Pelodiscus sinensis: one gene and its partners. The protein of the gene in region 1 purifies or fractionates together with the protein of each later gene. This does not show direct contact. Links are inferred from orthologs where the notes say so. Each region holds a gene or a part of one and is shown on either strand. Other genes may lie near its edges.

The links.
Region 2: the proteins of ANKRD46 (region 1) and ATRN purify together in Homo sapiens (co-immunoprecipitation; 3 studies listed by BioGRID and IntAct, with this or other methods). This does not show direct contact. The link is inferred for Pelodiscus sinensis from reciprocal best matches to the Homo sapiens genes ANKRD46 and ATRN.
Region 3: the proteins of ANKRD46 (region 1) and MGRN1 purify together in Homo sapiens (co-immunoprecipitation; 3 studies listed by BioGRID and IntAct, counting the BioPlex papers as one, with this or other methods). This does not show direct contact. The link is inferred for Pelodiscus sinensis from reciprocal best matches to the Homo sapiens genes ANKRD46 and MGRN1.

Annotation. Positions count from the first base shown.
Region 1 is NC_134712.1:35,518,634-35,526,457, forward strand, and holds the start of ANKRD46 (ankyrin repeat domain-containing protein 46), read left to right. Parts: upstream 1-4,721; 5' UTR 4,722-4,984; coding exon 4,985-5,018; intron 5,019-5,036; exon of another isoform or gene 5,037-5,174; coding exon of another isoform or gene 5,175-5,193; intron 5,194-5,289; exon of another isoform or gene 5,290-5,528; intron 5,529-7,824.
Region 2 is NC_134715.1:129,961,054-129,968,753, reverse strand, and holds the start of ATRN (attractin), read right to left. Parts: upstream 3,008-7,700; 5' UTR 2,839-3,007; coding exon 2,624-2,838; intron 1-2,623. UniProt on the Homo sapiens protein: Involved in the initial immune cell clustering during inflammatory response and may regulate chemotactic activity of chemokines. May play a role in melanocortin signaling pathways that regulate energy homeostasis and hair color.
Region 3 is NC_134726.1:3,946,599-3,953,522, forward strand, and holds the start of MGRN1 (E3 ubiquitin-protein ligase MGRN1), read left to right. Parts: upstream 1-3,831; 5' UTR 3,832-3,954; coding exon 3,955-4,042; intron 4,043-6,924. UniProt on the Homo sapiens protein: E3 ubiquitin-protein ligase. Mediates monoubiquitination at multiple sites of TSG101 in the presence of UBE2D1, but not of UBE2G1, nor UBE2H. Plays a role in the regulation of endosome-to-lysosome trafficking.

The DNA of each region.
Region 1 (7,824 bases):
TTGCTCTTACTACTCACCCAAAGCATTTGGAGACCAGCCTAACCTGTAGGTGCATACTTTTATTGAGCGAAAGCTGACTATAAAAAGAATGCAAAAGACTCCACTAGGTCTGTGACAGAAATGGTGTGAACAAATTGTTACTCCATTGTATGGTCAGAGTTTTGTGAAGAGAATAAAAATGTAATGTGAAAAAAATAATACAAAACAAAATGAAGATCAGACTAAATACATGTATTAGATGATGAGCTTTCGTGGGCCAGACTCACTTCCTCAGATCAAATTGTGGAAGAAAATTGGCATGCCCATATATGCCAAAAGGATACAGTCAAAAAAATGAACACATAAAAAGGACAAATCAAATTTCAGAACAGAGCGGGGATGAGGGGGGGAGGTTAATCAAACAGTAAGGTCACTGTCAATTATTCTTATGCATGAAACGTATCAGTGATAGACTGTGTGTGCCTTAGAGCCTGGGTTCCCAAACTGGGGAGTGTGCCCCCTAGGGGGGGCATGAAGAAATTCCAGGGGGGGCATGAGGTGACCCAGCCCCCTCCGTCAATCTCACCCCAAGTTTTGCTGCTTTTTTGGGGGGGGGAGCATGAGGGTTTCTCAAAAATCAAAAAGGAGGCGTGATGCAGAAAAGTTTGGGAACCACTGCCTTAGAGTGTGAGAACCTTGTGCTGCCTCTTTGTTCTGTACATAGTGAAGACTTGCAGTTTTGGGGCAGTCTGTGTAGCACCTTTGCCAGCACCATTTTTTTTTTCAAGTGGCCTGAGTAACTTTTTAAATGACTGAAAATTACATTCTTAAAATCGTTATTTTAAAAATAAAAGTATACAAAGTCTTGTTAAAAATATGAGTGGAAAGTGAGAATTACCAGAACACAACAAATTTCTCACTATCTTATGGTATATTAAGGCCCCAAAACAAAGAATTATAAGGCACTATTAAAGCAGGCATAATGCTGGGATCACTTAATGATTGCCTGTTCTGTTTATTCCCTCTGAAACACCTGGAACTGGCTACTGTTGGAAGACAGGGGGCTAGATAGAACTTTGATCTGATCCACTATGGACATTTTTATAAAACTAGTTTGTAGCTTTGGCAGCAGCCCTAAACAGTCCCAATGTCACTCTTTAGCATATTGGTGAAACATGTTTCACCTTGTGTTAATTAGTGATGTCAACGAGTAATAAACTAGGGGTACGTCTAGACTACATGCCTCTGGCGACAGAGTCATGTAGATTAGACTACCCGGCATAGGAAAATGAAGTGGCGATTTAAATAATCACCACTTCATTTAAATTTAAATGGCTGCCGCGCTGAGCCGATCAGCTGTTTGTCGGCTCAGCGCGGTAGTCTGGACATTCCGTGGTCGACATCAAAGGCATTTGTCGACCTCCCAGGTATGCCTCCTGGGATTATTTAAATCGCCGCTTAATTTTCCTATGCCAGGTAGTCTAATCTATATGCCTCTGTTGCCAGAGGCATGTAGTCTAGACGTACCCCAAATTATTAACTGATAAGCCTAGGTTTATCCATTAATCTGTCAGCTACTTGTATTTCCCTGCTGCCTCTGTATCTGGTTAGGCAAACTCCCTGGTTTGAAACCACTCTGGGCCTGAGTGAGCCAGACTAGGGAGGTCGAACCTGTATTTTAAGGCAGGACTCCTTTTGGTACCTGGACCTCTGGGCTATGTCTACACTCGTGGCTTCTTGCACCAGAAATATGCAAATGAGGCTAAGTGTGGAATATGGTGAGCCTCATTTGCATGCTTAATGAGCTTCCATTTTTGCAGAAGAGGCTCTTGCACAGGAGTGGTCTACACTGCCCCTTGCACAAGAAAACCCCTCTTGTGCAATGCTTTTACACCAATTATTTTTAGGAATAACAGCATTGCGCAAGAGGGTTTTTCTTGTGCAAGAAGGGGCAGTGTAGACAGCTCCTTCTGGCACAAGAGCCTCTTCTGTAAAAATGGCAGTTCAGCTATGCAAATGAGGCTCAGCGATCTTTCACGCTTAGCTTCATTTACATATTTCTGGCGCAAGAAGCTCTGTAGTTGTACATGGACAAGGCAGACAGGAAGTGTGATTGCAGCAGCCCAGAGAACACTACCTGAGCTAGCTGTGAATTGGAGTAAGGCGAATGAAGAGGCATGTTAGCCCCCTCCCCAACCCTGATCCCAGCCCTGAGTGGTGCCTACTCCCCACCTATGGTTGCCAGCTTTCCAAATGCAGAAAACTGAATACCATTGCCCTGCCTTTACCTGCCCCTTCTTGCAGCCCTGTTTCTACCCCACCCTTTCTTTGAGGCCTCCCCCAACAATCACTCTTTCCCCCCCCCTCCATCATTCAGTGTCCCCTACCCTTGTTCACATGATAATTTTCACTAGGCTGGGCAGGGGTTAGGCCTGCCAGTGGGCATAGGAAGGAGGGCAAAGGGGGAAGTTGCCTCAGGCCTCTGAATCGCTAGGCCTCAGGGCTCCCAGCCACCACCACTGCTACTTCAGCAGTGGTGGCATCTGGAGCCCTGGATCCTTTAAATTGCATTAGAGTGCTGCACCGTGTGCTCCACGTAGCTTTGAGGGCTGGGAGGGGTGCAGTGCTCTCTGGGTGGCATGCAGGGGTGGCTGCCCTGGCTCCTTCCTAACTGCCCGAATTTCCACCCCTTCTGGGAGTGCAGAGCCCTTCCCTACACACACTTTGCCCAGGGGCCCACAGAAGCTGCCTGTGCCCCTAGTGGGGGGAAGAGGAAGCGGGATGTGCATGGGTTCCAGGCTGGGGGCAGAAATGAAGGTTTGGAGAGTGAGAGGAGGCTGCAGACTAGGGCAGGGGTATAGGGAGATCCGGGAAATATGGGCTCTGGGCTGGAGGTGTGGGCCAGAAATGAGGGGTTCAGAATATGGCAGGTACTCTGGACTGGGGCAAAGAGAGAGAATATGGGAGGGGATCAAGTCTCTGGGCTGTGGGTGTGGGTTCTGGGGTGTGGTCAGAAAGGAGGGGTTCAGGCTGTGGATGGGCTCCAGGCTGGGACAGGCTGTTGTGTTGTGGAGGGGGTTGTGGGCTCTTCCTAAAGATGCAGTCTCTGGGATAGATAGGGATAAGGATAGAGATGAGCTATGCAGGGTGTGGGCTGGGACTGAGGGGTGTGGGTTCTGAGTAGGGATGTTAAATTGCAGGCAACAAACTCATCGAATAGTCAATGCATTTTGCTTACTAGTCAATAGGGCATCTCTGCCCTTGAAGTGTAGCAACAGCCCTAGGGCTCCGTGAAGTGCTGACCCTGGGCTCCGTGAAGTTCCTTGGTTACTGAGGACAGGACAAGGAGTAATGGGCTTAAAGTGCAGCAGGGGAGGTTTAGATTGGACATTAGGAAAAAATTCCTAACTGTCAGGATGGTCAAATATTGGAATAAATTGCCAAGGGAGGTGGTGGAATCTCCCTCTCTGGAGATATTTAAGAACAGGTTAGATAGACATCTGTCAGGGATGGTGTAGACGGAGCTTGGTCCTGCCTTGAGGGCGGGGGGCTGGACTCGATGACCTCTCGAGGTCCCTTCCAGTCCTATTATTCTATGATTCTATGAAGTGCTGCCACTTTGAAACGCTGCAGGAGCCCAGTGTCAGGCTCACATGGCGTTTCAAAGTGGCAACGCAGTGTGGAGCCCAGGATCAGCTGAGAACTCCCCCGCTGGCCCCAGGCTCCATGCAGCGCTGCAGCTTTGAGATGCTGTGGAGAGAGCCTGGTATCAGGCTTCTCCCAGTGTTTCAAGATGGCAGCAGTGAGTAGAGCCGGGGGGTGAGCTGGGGACTCAGCTGCCTCTTCGAAAAGCTGGGAAGAGCCTGACCCAAAGCTCCATGCGGAACTGCCACTTTCAAGTACTGTACCCTGTTCTTTCATCCCCCCTTGATGCCTCTTTCTGATAGAGGCAGCAAAGGGGAGGGGCAGCAAAGTGGAGGGAGTAATAAGCATTTGCTTATCAGATGGTTGACTAGTCATTCATATCACTAGTTTGGCAGAGAGGTTAGGTGTGGAGGGACTCTGGGCTGAGGTAAGGGCTTGAGGTGCAGGAGAGGGTGCAGGCTCTGGGATACGGGTTTGGAGGGGCTCCGGGGTGGGGCAGGGGCTTGGGGCAAGTGAGTGGGGTCGAGGAGGGGATTGGGGGTGCAGGGTCCAGGCAGTGCTTGCCTCAGGTGGCTCCTGGCAGCAGAGTACTTGTGGCGTGTCTGCCTGTGAGGCAGAGGGACGTGCCAGTGGCTTGTGGGAGCTGCCTGCCCTAGCCCGGCCGCAGCGCGGAGCAGACTTTTACCGCCCAGTCAGTGATGCTGACCAGAGGCACCGGGATCCCTTTTCCACGGGTTATTCTGGCCCAGAGCCTGGCACCTACCAACCCCACCCCTGCTGCCCGGCTTTGCTGCGCTGGGGTTGGTGGGCCGGGGCAGGAACGCTGAGAGCCACTGACCCAACCCGTGAGCCCGTCTCTCGCGGAAACCCCGTCGGGGCAGGGGGGCAGCACCCGCCCCTGTGCACGGGGCCCAGCAGCCTCCCCCCAGGGCCAGCGCCGGGCCGAGGCCCCTCGCACTGCGGCCCAGGGAGCTGAGCAGGCGGCCTCCCGCCAGCAGGTGGCGCGGCCTCAAGCCCGGCCCCGCTGCGAGCGCCCCAAGGAACAGGCCGCGCGGCGCTGAGGCAGGTACCGGGACGGCGGCGGGAGCCAGGCAAGGCCTGCGGGAGGGGACCCGGCGCGGGGCCTGCTCCTTTCTGAGCGCCCGGCCGCTTGGGGACGCGGGGCTGCCGGGGCGGGGGCGGCCTAGGAGCCCGCACTTATCTGGGGGCAGCCGGTCGCCACCCACCGTCCGGGCGGAGACCCCGGCGCCGCTCGCTGCTGCGGAGCTGCCACCCCCTGCCCAGCCCGGGGCGCCGCACGGGCCCGCCGAGCGGTGTTCTGAGCCGGCCATTCCCGTCCAGGCCGGGGCAGTTACGGGCGATGCCGGCCAGAAACGTGCCTGCCCCTTTCGCAGGTAATCGCCTTGGGGCTCAAGCCTGACCAAGTGATGGCTTGTGTGTGTCCCCGGACCCACCCTGGGCCAAGACCTGTACTCGGCGTAGGCCTCGCTACAGGTACAGGGGAAGAGCCCAAGGCGTTATGCAGATGCACGTGTTGAAAAACAGCTGTGATGCTGCCTAGGCGGCTAGGTAGGTTCCCACTGTGATGTGGTAGCAGAGTTGATGCCTACACTGGGGCATAACTGACTGAATTTTAGTACCTTCGCGTCAGGAACATCCCTGACAAATTTGAGCCTAGCCACAAAACTGTCAGGATGTGAGAAGACTAAAATACAAACTGTGCATAGCTTGGGTGATGTAACTGTCTACAAATATTTGAAGTGTCACTATGAAAGCGGCAGGAGTAGAGAGACCTTTAAAATGAAGGGGGGAAAAGCTAGAAGTAATACAGGTTGAACCTCTTTTGTCCAGCAACCTCAGGACCTGACCAGTGCTGAACCAGAGAATTTGCTGACCCACAGGAGGTCAGTATTGTCTAGCAGCATTACCAACCCTTCTACTGCTTACTGGGCTCTTAGAATACATTTAGAGGTAAATAACAGCACAGAACACTAAGAGCCAGGACTCGTGACTGTAAACAAACTTTTGGGGACTGTGGGAAACTTGGCCACAGCCAGATGTTCACTTATCATGGGTAACTAAAATCATGCTGGACCACAGATGTTGCCAGACCAGAGTATAAAGGACTAGAGAGGTTCAATCTGTAGAAGGAAAATGAGTGAAGAAAAAAATTCTCTGACGGTTAACCTTTGACTTACAAAGCAAAATGAGCAAATCTATAAATATGCACAGCTCAATTTAAATACCCAAATGAGTGTGAAAGATGTAAACATGTACAAGAAAATTAAGTGTGTAAATTGTAAGGAGACAGATGAATTTTCTTTTTGTTCCACCAAAAATATAACTAATGACATTAGGGTAGAATTAAGAAAATGTGGTTCATCAGGAACAACTTACTAACAACAGTGAGGTGATCTGTTAGACTGAAATAGTTTTTGAAGAGAAATGGTAGATCTCATTTTAAAAGATACTTCCCTGAGCACCAGCTCTTGCCTGCCAACCTGTGCGTACGCACGCACTCTCTCTCTCTCTCTCTCCCTCCCTTCCTCTCCTTGCTGCCGCTGGCAGGTAGCAAAGCAGAAGCAGACAGATCCGTGGGGGGTCACGTATGGAGAGCTGGCTGAAAAGCTGGCTCCTCATGCGTATCAGCTCTTGCTTCTCCCCCCTGCCTCTGTGGGAGGCAGCAATAGGGAGAAAACAGCTCCCATGTGTACCAGCTCCCACCTGCCTTCTCACCCTCCATGCTGCTGCCTCTCTATCAGAGGCGTCAGTGGTGGGACAGGTAGCGCCATGGGATCTGGTACTCATGGGGAATTCCCACCTGCTCCCCATGCTACTGCCTCTGTGGGAGAGGGTAGGCAGCTCCATGGGAACCAGAGTGCATAAGGAGCCAGCTCCCTATGGGCACCAACACCTGTATTCCCCCTCTTCCCGACACAGAGGCAGCAAGGGTGTGTATGTGCATGTAGTCATTAGAATTAACTGATAAGCCCTTTGAAGTAGGAATAAGAGATCCTCCGGAATAGGGCTTTATTCCGGAGGATCGGGCCAGTCTAGACGCTTTTTTCCGGCTTTTCCCCAAGCCGGAAAAAAGCGGCGGACATCTTTATTTAAATCCCGCGGGGGATATTTAAATCCCCCGCGGATTTCCCTATTCTGAAGTTGAAAATTAGCATGCCCCTTTCGGAAAAGGGACCAGTGTAGACGTAGCCGGTCTGTTGATATCCGCATTCACGGATGCAGATATGAAGTGGCTGTCCATAGATTTGCAGGGCTCTAGATATAAAAATGGAATCCACATCTATCCGTTATCCATCAACATGGTACACAGATATCTGTATCTGCAGGTATCTGCTGATACAAAGCGGATATCTGCAAATTTGCAGGGCTCTAAGAGTGTGGATTTTGCACATCCTCCAGTGATGTAGTTATACTGACACGAGTCTGTGATGTAGACCAAACCTAAGACAATTTTAGTTCCATGTTCAGATTTGTTTCGTTTTTAAATACAAACCAATAAGTTTTATTATCAGGCCGTATGTTCTGTATTTTTAATATGCTATGAAAGTAATGCAGTGTTTGCAACACTAATATGGAATCATGCTAATGTGTAAGCATCAAAAGGTGAAATTGACTGGATGCAAGTTTTGTGACTTCAAGAGAATGGCGTGTCGGGGGGAGAAAACTAACAATACTAATGTTAGATTTTTAATATTTGTACTAGTCTAAATTGTATTAGCTCTACAAGCTAGTTATTGTAAATGTTATTAATCTGATAATCTCATACATAAGTACGGAATGGTCCTGCAGTGGCAGAGGAATGACCAGATGACTGAATGAGACTTTCACTTCTAAATTTGGTGAGCTAAATTCTGCTGTATTCAGCAATCCTTTCACATTGACAGAGCAACATAAAGGGCAGCCCCACCCACCAATGAATACTCCTGCTGTAAGGCTTTTTCCTTCAATGGTATAGAACTGCCAGAATAGAACTAAGCTGCTTCCAATGCAATGTGACTTTGTGATCACAGTAGCTGTAAGTGCTGTGATTCTTTATTTTGTGTACATTTTCTAACCACTCTTTCTCATGTTGGTATGAATTGCCTCTCAAGGCATTTTTAGGAGATCTGGTTGTTATTCATTTCTTTTGGATACTAGCAATTTTAGGGTGTTCTAGTTAGTTTAAAGTTTAATTTTTCT
Region 2 (7,700 bases), on another chromosome or scaffold:
ACCAATTGTTCATCTGCTTGCACAAATACCTTACTTGCATTCAATTCACATTTTGAAAGGATAAGATCAGTAATGAAGGTATTGGTGATCAAAACCAGCAACTGCCTCTGTAAGTTCAGTTTCAGTGGCTCTCTTGGGATAGACATATTAGAACTAAAGACCAATGAATTATAAAATGTGTATATCAAGGAATGTCACTACATGGCCAGAAATCCAGCAGTTGACAAAAGCTTCAGTGGCACAACAGCATTGCCAATAATGGATATACACTTAATATCAAGGCAGATCATCTGAAGGAACTAGCGAGAGATCGATCCAGGGGATGCTTGATCTGCAGTTACATTCTTATGGATTTGCTGTGATTGTGATCAATGTTCTGAAAAAACTTAAAAAACAAATAATCTAGTAGCACTTTAAAGACTAACAAAACATGTAGATGGTATCATGAACTTTCGTGGGCACAACCCACTTCTTCAGATCGCCGTAGTGTTGAAGTCCAGATCCAAGAAACCAGTATTTTGGAAGTCCACACATTAAGAACATTTGTATGAAAAACATTAATGTCTATAAGAAGTTTAGTAGGTTCATGAAGCACAATTTTTACAAGGGTGTCATCCTAGGCTACACAAGCATAATGGATTCATGGCTAGATACACATTAATTGTGAGCATCAAGATAAGAACAAAATTACTCATCTGTGTTAATCATTAAATTCAAATACACAGGAGACTCTGCATCCAATGGTCTCGTTAAAATGAAACAACCGAGTGATACCCTAAAACTAGTTACACAAAAAACTGGCCTAACATCAAATGATTTCAGGATGAAACTGAACCATCAGCCAGAGGGTGCAAACAATATCAAGTTCATGCTGACCCAATACAACTTTAAGTACCAAACTACTGATTTCAAGAGCTGGCATGGGGCAGAATTATGTTCCCCAAAAATACTTGACAACCAGCACATCAAGCATAATGAAGACCCAGCCAGGTGGGCCGTCTATAGAACACTCAACACAATTCATCTACGGTACCTGGAATTCCTTCACATACATATCCAGTTGCGTTCAGTCCAACATAGCTGCCTCAAATAATTGACTTCCAAACAGACAAAAAATTAGCCTCACCTAAAGGCATGGGCACCAGATTTATATAATTTTTCATAGTACCCAGAACAGGTTCAAGCACAGCCATATCATCCATTGGACACATTGAGGCAACCCCCTGGACTCTGTCATCTGGGGGGGCCCTGTGCTTCAAAGGTATGTGGAGTCCAGGATGACCTCAGGTTTAGTGGGGGGACCTGGTACTGGCTACAACAAGTGACTCTGCCCCAGCGTGCTCTGCTCCGCCCCGCCAGCTCCTCTTGTCATTCCAGGAAGGGCAGAAACCAGAAAAAGGTGGGGGCTTGAGAGAAGGGGTGGAATGGTGACATAAAGAGGTAGGGTGGGTGTAGAGAAGAGGTAGGAAAAAAGCAGGGTAGGGCAGGCTCTTGAGGGATGGGTAGGAGAGGGATGGGATGGGATGGGATGGGATGGGGCCAGGTATCTTGCTGCTGCTAATTCCAGCCCCCTGCTAGTTCCTCAAGCCACCCATGACCCCACTTGCCCCTGAAGCACTGGGGTCCCCAAAGCACAGGACCCAGTCCATCATCCATCCTTTGGAAAGGGCATCTCTGAAACCATAAGCCCCTATATGGGTGAAGCTGGACCCACATTCCTGAATATTGACTCGCTTGGGATAGACATATTAGAACTGAAGACGAATGAATTATAAAATGTATGCGTCAAGGAATACCACTACTCTTGAGATAGACAAAGTTTTAGTGGCTCTCTTGGGATAGACATATCAGAACTGAAGACCCATGAATTATAAAACATGTGCATCAAGGAACGCCACTACATGGCCAGAAATCCAGCGGTTGCCAAAAGCTTCAGAATCATACAACCAATTGTTCATCTGCTTGCACAAATACCTTAGTTGCATTCAATTCACGTTTTGAAAGGATAAGATCAGTAACGAAGGTATTGGTCATCAAAAACCATCAACTGCCGCTCTAAGTTGAGTTTCAGTGGCTCTCTTGGGATAGACATACTAGAACTGAAGACCCAATGAATTATAAAATGTGTAGATCAAGGAATGTCACTACAGGGCCAGAAATCCAGCAGGTTGCCAACAGCTTCAGTGGCACAACAGCATTGCCAAGAATGGATATACACTTAATATCCAGGCAGATCATCTGAAGGAACTAGCGAGCGATGGATCCAGGGGATGCTTGTTCTGCAGTGACACCCGCACGGATGCGCTAGGACTGTGAGCAAGGTTCTGGAAAAACAACTTAAGACCCCCCCACCCCCCGAAAAAAAAAAGTCTGGGAGCCCTTTAAAGTCTGACCAAGCCGGCGGACGGCATGGCGAGCTCTCTCGGGGGGGCTGCCCCTCGCCACCTGCCCCCCCCCCCCGGCACGCCATCCCGAATACGCGTGCGCACCCAGGGGCTTTGCACCCCACTTCGCCTCCCCGCCAGAGGGGCACAGGAGCCGCCCCGCCCCTCTCCTCACGCGCCCCACGGGGGCCGGGCCCCTCCCCCCCCGGCGTGAGGCGGCCTCGCGGGCGCCCCCTCACCTGAAGCGGCCCCCGCAGTGCTGGCACTGGTCGCCCACCCAGCCGGCCTGGCACTCGCACTGCCCGCTGCCCGGCTGGCAGCGCCCGCCATTGGCGCACGGCTTGTCGCACTCCTTCGCCTCGCCCGCCGCGCCGGGCCCCGCCGCCAGCAGCAGCAGCGCCAGCAGCAGCAGCAGCGCCGGCCCGCCCCGGCCGCGGCTCCGGCTCCGCTCCATCGGCCGCCGGACTCGGCTCTGGCGTCGGGCTCCTGCTCGCGCGGCGCCTCCTCCTCCCCGGGCCGGACGGTGGCCGGCGAGGGAAAGCTGCGCGCGGCCCGCGACGGTGGCCGAGGAGGAAGGGGACGTCGCCGCCGCCGCCGCCGCTCGCGCTCCCCCAGCGGCAGGGCCGGGGCCGCGGGGAGATGACGTCACCGCCCGCGCGACGGCCTCGCGGGGACCGGTCGCGTCCCGCCCCCCCGCGCACGAGATACGGGGGGCGCCGTTTTCCTTCCCCTCCCCCCTCCCTCCGGTGTTCAGCACCCGGGGGGGGGGGGGCGTGGCCGTGGCTCGGGCTCCACCGACCCGCCTGCTGCCTCCTGTCCCACAGAGGCAGCAGCATGGGGACTGGAGCAGCCTCTGTCCCAGGGGAGCTCGCCCCCCCTCCCCCCCCCCCATAGGCTTGCCAGATGCTTTCACCAAAATTCCCAAACATGATTGAGGGAAGAAGAAAAAAAGGCGGGGACCAAAGTTGTTGAGAAAAAAAAAAAAAAGGTCACTGTGCCTTTAAATGACCTCACGCCCCCTCCCCCCCCACCACATGCAGCAGGGGAAAACTGTCCCCCCCCCCAGGCTTCCATCCTGAGGGAAACAAGAAATACCATCGAATTTATGCCATCGTGTGCCGAAAGTGTCCGTCCGCTAGGTACGTTGGACAAACGTCTCAGACACGTCGCCAAAGGATCAATGCCCACGAAACAGATATCAGACAGGATCCCAAAGAAAAAAGAGTTTCTTGCCATTTCAGCCAGAAAGGACATTGTCTCAACGACTTGATTACCTGCATCCTGCTTCAAAGACCTTTTAAGACGTCACTTCAAAGAGAATCCTCTGAACTGTCATTCATGCTTAAATTCGACACTTTACGCCTAAGTTTAAACAAAGACACTAATTATCTTACCCATTACAAAGATAGCTTCCCCAATTATCACCTCTAATATCATTAGGTCACAGACATTTACGTTCCCCCCTTTTCCCCCCCTTCCATCCCCCTTCTGTTCTGAAATTTGATTTGTCCTTTTCATATGTGTTCGCTTTTTTTTAATTGTATCCTTTGGTATATATGGTTGTGACAATTTTCTTCCACTATTTGATCTGAGGAAGTGGGTCTGGCCCACGAAAGCTCATCACCTATTAAACCATCTTGTTAGTCTTTAAAGTGCTACACAGTCCTGTTTTTGGTTTCAAGAAATACCAGACATTTCAGGTAATTTCTGGAGGGTTTTACTAGCCAGGGGAGCCAAATACCGAACAGTCTGGGCAAAACCCAGACACCTGGCAACCATAGCTGGTTTTTAAACTGGCTCCTCTCATGGACCAGCTCCCACCTGCCACCCCAGGATGTTGCCTCTAATACAGCAGCAAGGGGGCGCCTGGGAAGTGAGGCCAGAGTGCACTGGCTTTTGGCCCCACCCCCGGAGACAGTCGAATAGTCGTGTAACTGATAAGATCCCATGCACTTACATGACTATTTAATTACACTATATCTAACATCCCTAGTACACACTAGAGATGTAAGTGAGTAGTGTAGGCTTATTGGGTATTGGTGTCACTACTCAACTAGTTGCTTCTCCCGCCCCTTGCTACCTCTATCAGAGGCAGCAAGAGAGCAGGAGCCAGTGCTGCGGGGAGCCAGCTTTTAAAGCCGGATCCTCCAAGTACCGTATCCATGGGGGCGGGGGCAAGGAAGGCAGAGGCACATCGGGAGACTAGGCGTGAGATGGGACTACTTCAGTCCCCGCTGGCACTGGTTCCCACTGCTGACGCGTCTGCTTTTCAAAAACAGTCTAGTGCAAGCTGGGAGAAATGGGTGTCCACAAAAGAAAGTCCTGACTCAGTGATGAGACGAGATGAAGCCTGCAACAGCAGAAAAATATTATTAAATTCTGTTGCAATATTCATAGAGGCCAAGGCCTAAGCTGACCACTGTGATCATACAGTCTTATCATGACCTGTATAACACAGACCATAGAACTTCCCCAAAATAATTCCTAGTGTAGATCTGCTAGGAAAAACTAACTAATTTCATTTAAAAATTACCATCGATGGAAAATCCATTATGACCTTTAGTAAATTGCTTCAGTGGTTAGTTACTTTCACTGGTAAAACTTTGGATCCCATTCTAGTTTGTCTGCTTTACCTTCTAGCCACTGGATCATGTTACACATCTTTCCTAGATGGAAATACCCATTTTAAAATATTTTTTCTGTGCAAACATATATACACTTTAATCAACCCTTAACCTTCTGTTACTTAAGCTAAATCAGGCATGTCCAAAGTCCGGCCCGCGGGCCAATTGCGGCCCGTGTTCCAGTTTAATACGGCCCCACAGGTAATTTGGCAATATCTATCTTTTATGGCCCCCAATGAATCCATATGTATTGAGATGAATACATTGTAAAATCTCAGTTAATGTCAGTTGGTCTAAATCAGTTATAAATATATTTGGACACAACATATATACTTGGTGTTATGTTCCTGTTCATATTTTTTTAACTTAAAAGTTGACAGACAACCTTTCATATATATTTCAGCTTCCTGGATTTTTTTTTCATCTGGCCTTCAGATATGAAAGGCAGAGTGATTTAACACCTGTTTAGATTTGTCATCCATGTGACGAAATGAAAAGTATGCCGTTTGCAATAAACTTTGCATAAAATAGTTAATTTGCATTTAATTTTAATGGTTCAAAGAATGTCAGGCAAAATGGTCGGCCCTCACGCATGTTCACTTCATCAAATCTGGCCCTCTTTGAAAAATGTTTGGACACCCCTGAGCTAAATAGATTGTCATACCTATCACTTAAGGCATGCTTTCTATTCCTTTAACCAGTCCAGTGGCTGTCCTCTGACACTTCTTCAGTTTCACAATGTATTGTCTAAAGACCTCAATCATAATAAGCACTGTACAAAATGACAGACATGCCAAGCGCCACAGAGCTCACAATCTAGGATTCAGAGAAACAACAACAGGTGAATGAAGAGTTAACAGAAGGAAAAAGAAAGACAAGAAAACAGAAAAATGTCAGTATTTGCATTGATAGTCACAGCGCTCCCACTAAGGACTAAAGGACATAGAAGAATGTTTGTTTAAACAGAAACACTCACATTTCATACCTGATTTACTACAGTATAGACAAAAAGTTTACAATATCACAATGATCAATAGTCACAGAGAGGTAGGCGTGTTAGTCTGCATCTGCAAAAATAATGCAGAGTTCTGTGACATCATGTCTACACTCGCTGCTTCTTGCGCGAGTAATATGCAAATGAGGCTAAGCATGGACTATCGCCAAGCCTCATTTGCATACCTAATAAGCCACCATTTTTTTTCAGAAGAGGCTCTTGAGCAAGGAGGAGCATCTACACTGCCTCTTCTTGCGAAAGAAAAACCCTCTTGCGCAATGCCGTTACACCTATTACTTTTCAAGTTACTTTTCATGTGCGCGAGAGGCACATGGTGGAGGGGAGGAGATGGGGAAGCTGCAGGTGGAGGAGCAGTGGACCGCATGCAGACCACCACTTGCCAAACACTGGTGTAGAGACTGGTCCAGAAGAGCAAAATTGTGAGAAAGCAAAGTGAGCAATACTTCTCAGCATTATCATCATACCCTTGAATGACCTGAGGTATTGGAGTGAGGCAACAAATACTTTTCTGAACAGACTAATAAGAATGATGAGTAGTCCTGTGGCATCGTAGGGTATGTCTACACTGCCACCCTAGTTCAAACTAGAGTGGCTAATATAGTCATTTGAACTTGCAAATGAAGCTTTATTTGCATGTTCGAATGACATTAGCCACCCTAGTTTGAACCAGGGTGGCAGTGTAGACATACCCTTAGAGACTAACGAATATATATATATGGTATCATGAGCTTTTGTGGGCAAAACCCACTTCTTAGAATGAAATTTTTTTTTTCTCCACTCAAGATCATCTCATCTGAAGAAGTGGGTTTTGCCCATGAAAGCTCATGATATCATACATACATACATATATATATATAGGGCTCACCAAGTGTCAGCGAGCCCTGCTCACCAGCCGCACGGTTCTGCGCTCTGCGCATGCGCACATTGCTCTGTGCCAGCTCTTCCGGGTTGTAATCTGTAATCATGTGCTGATCGCGCTGCGGTGCCGTGCTGAGCTAAAATCTACTCACCACGGGCAAGTAGATTACATTATTTGTCGAGCCCTGTATATATATATACACACACACACACACACACACACACACACACAGGGCTCAACAATTAGGGCAATCTACTCACCCGTGGTGAGTAGATTTTAGCTCAGCACGGCACCGCAGCGCGATCAGCACATGCGCAGTGTGCCGAACCGTGCGGATGGCGAGCAGGGCTCTCCGCTGCTTGTCAAGCCCTGTATGTGTGTGTGTGTGTGTGTGTGTGTGTGTGTGTATATATATTTGTTAGTCTCTAAGTTGTCACAGGACTACTCATTTATGAAGTTACAGGCTAACATGGCTAAACCTCTGAGACTAGTAGGAATAAGGTTGTTGTTTACTATGGGAAGAATCATAGAATCATAGAATACTAGAACTGGAATGGACTTTGAGAGGTCATCAAGTCCAGTCCCCTGCCCTCAAGGCAGGACCAAGCACCATCTAGACTACCCCTGATAGATGTCTGTCCAACCTGCTCTTCAATACTTCCAGTGATTGAAATTCCACTACCTCCCTAGGCAATTTAGTGCTTACCCACTCTGACAGGTAGTAGGTTTTTCCTAATGTCCAACTGAAAACTCCCTTGCTTGCAATTTAAGCCCATTGCTTCTTGTCCTATCATCAGAGGCCAAGGAGAACAATTTTT
Region 3 (6,924 bases), on another chromosome or scaffold:
GATGGAGTGTGGGCAGGACAGAGGCACATTATGGCAGTCTCCGCAACCTGGAAACCCCTGTGGAACAAACACTGAACTGGGGGAAGTGCTGGTCCCAGCCAGGTCCCAGGCTAATGACTAAAGGGATTTCTAGCCTGGTAATTTGGTCTCTTTTCTGTATAGTCCTATGAGAAGCAATCCCATTCCAGGCATATCCTATTTCCTGGCACAACCAAACCCATATGTTGCTTTAAGTTATGATAAGAGGAAACTGCAAACCGAATTTGGTGGTCCTAGCTCTTACCGTTTAGGAGGAATCCTTTAACAAATAGACAGACAGACAAGCTCTCTCAAGTCTATAGTACATTATTCGTAATTCTCCATCTCCACCTAGCAATGGAGCAACACTATTGTGAGGACCCTTTTTGTTCCTATTTACACTTACAAAAAACGTCTGTCCTTAACTCTGCTGGCCCCAGTTTTGTCCCTGTGTCCCTTTGCCTCCCTCATCTGTCCCTCTTAGAAAAGAGACAACTCAGGAGGCTATGAAATCATGACTGGCGTGGAGAGAATGAACGGGGAAGAGTTATTCACCCCTTTGGATAACACAAGAAACGGTGGTCACCCAATGGAATGAGTAAGCAGCAGGTTTAAAACAGACACCCAGGAGTACATACCATTCTGCTCAGTTCCTAACGCAGCGTCTTTGCAGAGTCTGCTGTGCAAGTGAGCAGCGGCTGGCACATTCTACCCTAGAGGTGGCTGCATTTGAGCAAAAGGGTTCTTGTGTCTGGTTTGTGAAACATATTGGATCCTGCTGGGTGAAAGACCCTGGAGAAATGTACCATTCACTGTAATATTGAGGAATCCACAGCGACACCCCCTGAGCCAGGCCCTGAAGCTGAGAAACAGCTCTCTCTGCATCAGGGCCAACCCCTGCCTTTAATTCGCTGGGCCACTGCAGGCTCTGCAGCCCTGACCCAGGATCCCTTCCTGGGATGTGCCATGGAAGCAGGTGGCACAGCAGTGGTGTCCTAGATAGGGATGTAAAATCCCGTTTAATTGGCTAACCAATTAAACGGGGGAGGGGGGGTACTCCTGTTTGTTTGCCACAAAACAAACGAACAGGTTAATCATTCCCTGGGCCAAGCAAAGCAACATGGACACAGAGCCCTGGGAGCTGTCACCTTATGTGCCAAACAAACCCAGCTTTCCAGGGGCTTTCCAGCGGCCAAAACGAAGCGGAGGGGGCGGGGGCCTTGGACGCTCTGCAGCGCGAGTCTTCAAGGAGCCAGACAGGCTGGCTGGCCGGCCACTGCCTGTATGAACAAAGCTGGGGAGAGCCATTCTACAACTCACCGTAATGGATATTTGTTGGCAATTGCCTGCCCATCCTCGGCCAGGGGCATCCGCGCTTGTTCTCATTCAGCCTTTGCACCAGACATTTGGGCTTCCTGGCTATAAAAGGAGGAACTTTTACTACATTTCTATTAGGTGAATTATGGTAGAATGTAAACACCAACCCCCAGTCATGGTCCAGGACCCAATTGTGCTCGGTGCTGTACATTATTAGGTGTATTATGGTAGTTCTTACAAGCCCCAGACACAGACCAGGGCTCCACATAGAGCAGAGATTGTCCCTGCCCCACAAAGCTCACAATCTAGGTATAAGGCAAGAGACAACAGGAGGGGAAGACAAAGGGGGAAGCACCAGGATACAGTGGGGCAATGCCAATCAGCAAGAAGGGCAGGGTCTCAGCACATCAATGGCCTCGCCATTTGCACTGGACACTGGAATTGTCGGACTGTATCAGACCAAGGTCCATTTGGCCCCATTGCCTATCTCTGACAGTGACCAGCACTGGATGCTTCCAAGGAAGGTGCATGAAACCCACTAGATCAGGAAGCAGATGTAGGATCATCTGTCCCAGGAAATCCCTTCCCAGTTCCCACTAGAGATTGGCTTAGTTCTCTCTCCTTGTTTTTTTCAAAATGGCAATAGTATTTACAATGACAATTCTGGATAGTTTCGTTATTCATATAAATGTCCAGTCCCTCTTTGACACTTGGCGTCCTCGACTTCCAGTGGCAATAAGTTCCACAGTCTAATGATATGCTTTTCTTGTGAATTTGCCAGCTTTTCATCTGATCAGCTGTGCCCCTGTTCCTATGTTATGAGGCAGGGAGACCAGAGATTCCTGCTGCTAAATCTCCAGAGCTGTTGGTATTTGATATAGTTTGTCCCTTCTCTTCCTCTGTCTCCATTCTAAGAGAACAATCCCAAACTTCAGCCTTTCTTCACAGGCCAGTCCTTCCATGCCTTAAGTCTGGACCAATGTTTCCTCAATTTTTTTCTATCTGTGTGTGGAATTAATGTTGTTATGTGCACTGAGGCATGTGCAGATGTGCACCAACAGTAGAAACATCCTGCCGGCTGTGGGTGCTCTGCTAATCAGCTGGACGGCCTCCTGGGTGGCCGCCTGAGCACACAGCTTACAGGGAACTCTGGTCTGGACCCCTTTCTATGGAGGGTCATCTCTTGTGCTGGGATAAATCACTGTAGCTCATTGACTTCAATGGAGCTCTATGGACTGAACCCAGCTGGGCCGCCTGGCAGGCTGATGAGAATTCTGAACTGGGGAATCTCTGGTTTCTTTGAAGGTTAGCTGCAGCTTGGATAACACATCCCAATTTAATGTATTGAAACACATCTGTTTGGGAGGTGAGAGAGACTCATGACTTTCTCATACATCCTGCTGATGCTGCCTTCACACAGAGCCAGATCCTGTTAGATGCTGAGCTTGCTCCTCTTCCCATGACTACAGGAGCGGAGGGCACTCAGCCCTTTGCAGGATCAGGCCCGCAGAAGGGTGTTGTGAGTCAAAGTTCTCCCCAGGCAGAGGCTGCTTGGACAGGTTTCCTCCATGTAACAAACCGCAGATCAAAGTCCACCATCAGGACCCACCCTGGGCGGATGTGCAGCCCTGAGAACCTTGTATGAGGCAGTAAAAGTCACATGACCTGCCTGTTCCTGAGGTGGTATTTTTTTTTGTAGTTAGCATGAACCTGGAGCATTGTATTCAAGTCACAGCCGGGCTCTCTGGAGATTAGGTGCCCCAGCAGGATCCAAGGCAGGGCCTACCAGGATCCGAGCTACCCACAGCACCCCAATCAACTGCCTGGACCATGGTGGAGCATCACCTGCTGTTCACAGAGTGAAACCAATCGCCTCCGCAGGCCACACCACAGAGAAGCAGCAACAGCCATGGCCTGTCCGCAGCAGAGCTGGGATCGCCCTTCAGCCTCCTCCTTCCATTGCCACCTGCACATCTGCCAGGGCTTCACCTGCTCTAGTGACAACTGTCCTGAAGGCCTCCCAGCCCGAGCCATCGCCCAGCCAGGACATGCCCTGATCTGCCTGTTACCCATTCCTCCCAGAGGCATGCCTGGATGTGCACTGAGGGCCTGGGCCCCGGATGCAGGCAAAGCGCAGTGCAGGGACCCATCCCTCACCCTAGCTGCTAGGCCTGTCTCTGCTGCCCCAGCCTGCGCGGGGGGAGGGACTCCTGCCACGCTGCCCCACCATGCGGGGCGGGGGTGACCTGGCCATGCTAAGGGAATCCCTCATCACTGGGGGGGGGGATGCTCTGGCCACACTCAGAGAGCCCTCATTGGCTCGGCAGGAGGCTGGTCGGCGCCCTCTGCTGGCGGCTGCGCGCGTTACAGCCCCACCCCCCCACAGCGCACTCCCGGAAGAGTCCACTGAGTGAGGGGGTACAGGCCCGCGCACGCGGTTGGTACGGCCCGGCCGAGCCGTCGGTGTGTAGGACCCGGCGCGTGGCTCTTGGGAGTTGTAGGCGGCCGGACTCGCTTTCCCAAGCTGCCCCGCGGCGGGTTGTGTTTGCGAGTCGCTGGGTCCGGGTCGCTCGCTGCTCGCCGCCGCCGCTGCCGGGTCCCGGGCTGGGCGGTCCCGCCATGGGCTCCCTGCTGAGCCGGCGCATCGCGGGCGTGGAGGACATCGACATCCAGGCCAACTCGGCCTACCGCTACCCGCCCAAGTCCGGTAAGGGCGGCCCGGCCCCATAGCGCCCCCCGCCCCATAGCGCCCCCCCAGCACCCCCTGTGTCCGGCCCTCCAACGCCCCCGGCCCCATAGCGCCCCCCCAGTGTCCGGCCCTCCAACGCCCCCGGCCCCATAGCGCCCCCCCAGTGTCCGGCCCCCCAACGCCCCCGGCCCCATAGCGCCCTCCCAGCGTCCGGCCCCATAGCGCCCCCCCAGCACCCCCTGTGTCCGGCCCTCCAACGCCCCCGCCCCCATAGCGCCCCCCCAGCGTCCGGCCCCATAGCGCCCCCCCAGCACCCCCTGTGTCCGGCCCTCCAACGCCCCCGCCCATAGCGCCCCCCCAGCACCCCCTGTGTCCGGCCCTCCAACGCCCCCGCCCCCATAGCGCCCCCCCAGCGTCCGGCCCCATAGCGCCCCCCCAGCACCCCCTGTGTCCGGCCCTCCAACGCCCCCCGCCCATAGCGCCCCCCCAGCGTCCGGCCCCATAGCGCCCCCCCAGCACCCCCTGTGTCCGGCCCTCCAACGCCCCCGCCCATAGCGCCCCCCCAGCGTCCGGCCCCATAGCGCCCCCCCAGCACCCCCTGTGTCCGGCCCTCCAACGCCCCCCGCCCATAGCGCCCCCCCAGCACTCCCTGTGTCCGGCCCTCCAACGCCCCCCGCCCATAGCGCCCCCCCAGCGTCCGGCCCCATAGCGCCCCCCCCCAGCACCCCCTGTGTCCGGCCCTCCAACGCCCCCGCCCCCATAGCGCCCCCCCAGCGTCCGGCCCCATAGCGCCCCCCCAGCACCCCCTGTGTCCGGCCCTCCAACGCCCCCGCCCCCATAGCGCCCCCCCAGCGTCCGGCCCCATAGCGCCCCCCCAGCGCCCCCTGTGTCCGGCCCTCCAACGCCCCCGCCCCCATAGCGCCCCCCCAGCGTCCGGCCCCATAGCGCCCCCCCAGCAACCCCTGTGTCCGGCCCTCCAACGCCACCGGCCCCATAGCGCCCCCATAGCGCCCCCCCAGCACCCCCTGTATCCGGCCCTCCAATGCCCCCGGCCCCATAGCGCCCCCCCAGCATCCGGCCCCATAGCGCCCCCCCAGCACCCCCTGTATCCGGCCCTCCAACGCCCCCGGCCCCATAGCGCCCCCCCAGCACCCGGCCCCATAGCGCCCCCCCAGCACCCCCTGTATCCGGCCCTCCAACGCCCCCGGCCCCATAGCGCCCCCCGCCCATAGCGCCCCCCCAGCGTCCCGCCCCATAGTTCCCCCCCAGCACTCCCTGTATCCGGCCCTCCAACGCCCCCGGCCCCATAGCGCCCCCGCAGCACCCCCTGTATCCGGCCCTCCAACGCCCCCGGCCCCATAGCGCCCCCCCAGCACCCCCTGTGTCTGGCCCTCCAACGCCCCCACCCCCATAGTGCCCCCCAGCATCCCCTGTATCCGGCCCTCCAACGCCCCTGACCCCATAGCGCCCCCCGCCCCCATGGCGCCCCCCCAGCACACCCCTGTATCCGGCCCCCCAACGCCCCCGGTCCCATAGCGCCTCCCAACTCCCTTCGCGTCCAGCCCCATAGTGCCCCCCCAGCTCCCCCCGTGTCCTCCTGTCCCTGCCCCCCACAGCGCTGTGGCCCCTTTGCCCTCCCCACAGCCCCCTGGCCTCCATACTGCCCCCATGCCTTGGCCCCCCCACTGTGCCCCTGGCTGGGAGCAGACCGGGCCCTTGGTGCCCATCCAACTCCCTCTGGGCCTCAACCCATGCCCCGTCCCCCCCCACCTGCACTCAGCTGGGGGAGTAAATGGCCTCCAAGACCCACTCATCCCCCTCAGGATCTCTGCAGCACCCTCCTGGGCCTCCATCCTCAGCCGACCCATAGCAGCCACCACAGCCCCCCAGCCTGAACAAAGGTCAGAGTGCGATGCAGCTGTGTAGGTATGAGCAGAGCAACCCCAAGGGGCACTAACTGGTTAACACCCTCCCCCCCCAACACATGCACCTTGTTATTGAAAGTGGAGTTGTTACATCAGACAGAGCTTGCTGGGCCTCAGGTACAGATTTAACTGCAGCTATCTGGAGATTAGTTTGGCATGCAGCTGGCCGGTCCCTCTTTTGGGGACCCTGAACCAGCACAAGGGTTCAGAGTTTGGGTTGCACACGGGCCGGGGGAATTGTCATGCAGACTAAGACTTAGCCCTCCTCCCCCACCCACCAATCATGGGACGACTCTTCTCCATCATGGAGCTTAGCGAGACCTTTGCTTATGGAACCCACATGATGAGTCAGTGGTAATGCCTGACTGGACTCCTCTGGGTTGTGCTCTAGGGCAGGGGGGGAAGCTCCCCTGGAAAAGAGTGGGTGTGGCTGACAAGTGGAGACTTCAGAGCGTCTTTCCTCCCTCCTGGGCTGCCCGGGCCTAGCCCTGCTCTGCTAAAACTCAGAGCATCTGACTTTTTCACAGGGTAAGGGCTGCTCTCTGCTTCCTTGTCTCTGCATTTAACTTCCTTCTTGTACAGTGTCTGTAGTCTACGGTGTATGGTCATTTGGCTCTGCTGATTGGGGAGTTGCTCAGACTGAGGTCCGGAGACCCCAGAACGTGACTTCCAAGCTCCAGCCGGACGTTTGCATAAATCTGAACTTGGGATATAATAGGATAATTGTTTACACAATTAACTGATAAGTCTGGGCTTATCGGTTACCGTGAACGGTTACACGCAGGCTACTGCCCTGCGACCAGGGAGCTGGCTGCCCCCCCACGCTGCTGCCTCTGATACACATGCCATTGTTAAAGAGAGTTGAGAGGGACATCAAGACCTGAAGCCCCAGCCTTCAAGACTAGGTTAATCTAAAAGTTGCTCTTAAATATTGGTTTGCAAGGGAAAATAGGAACCAGGCTGATAGGATCAGGG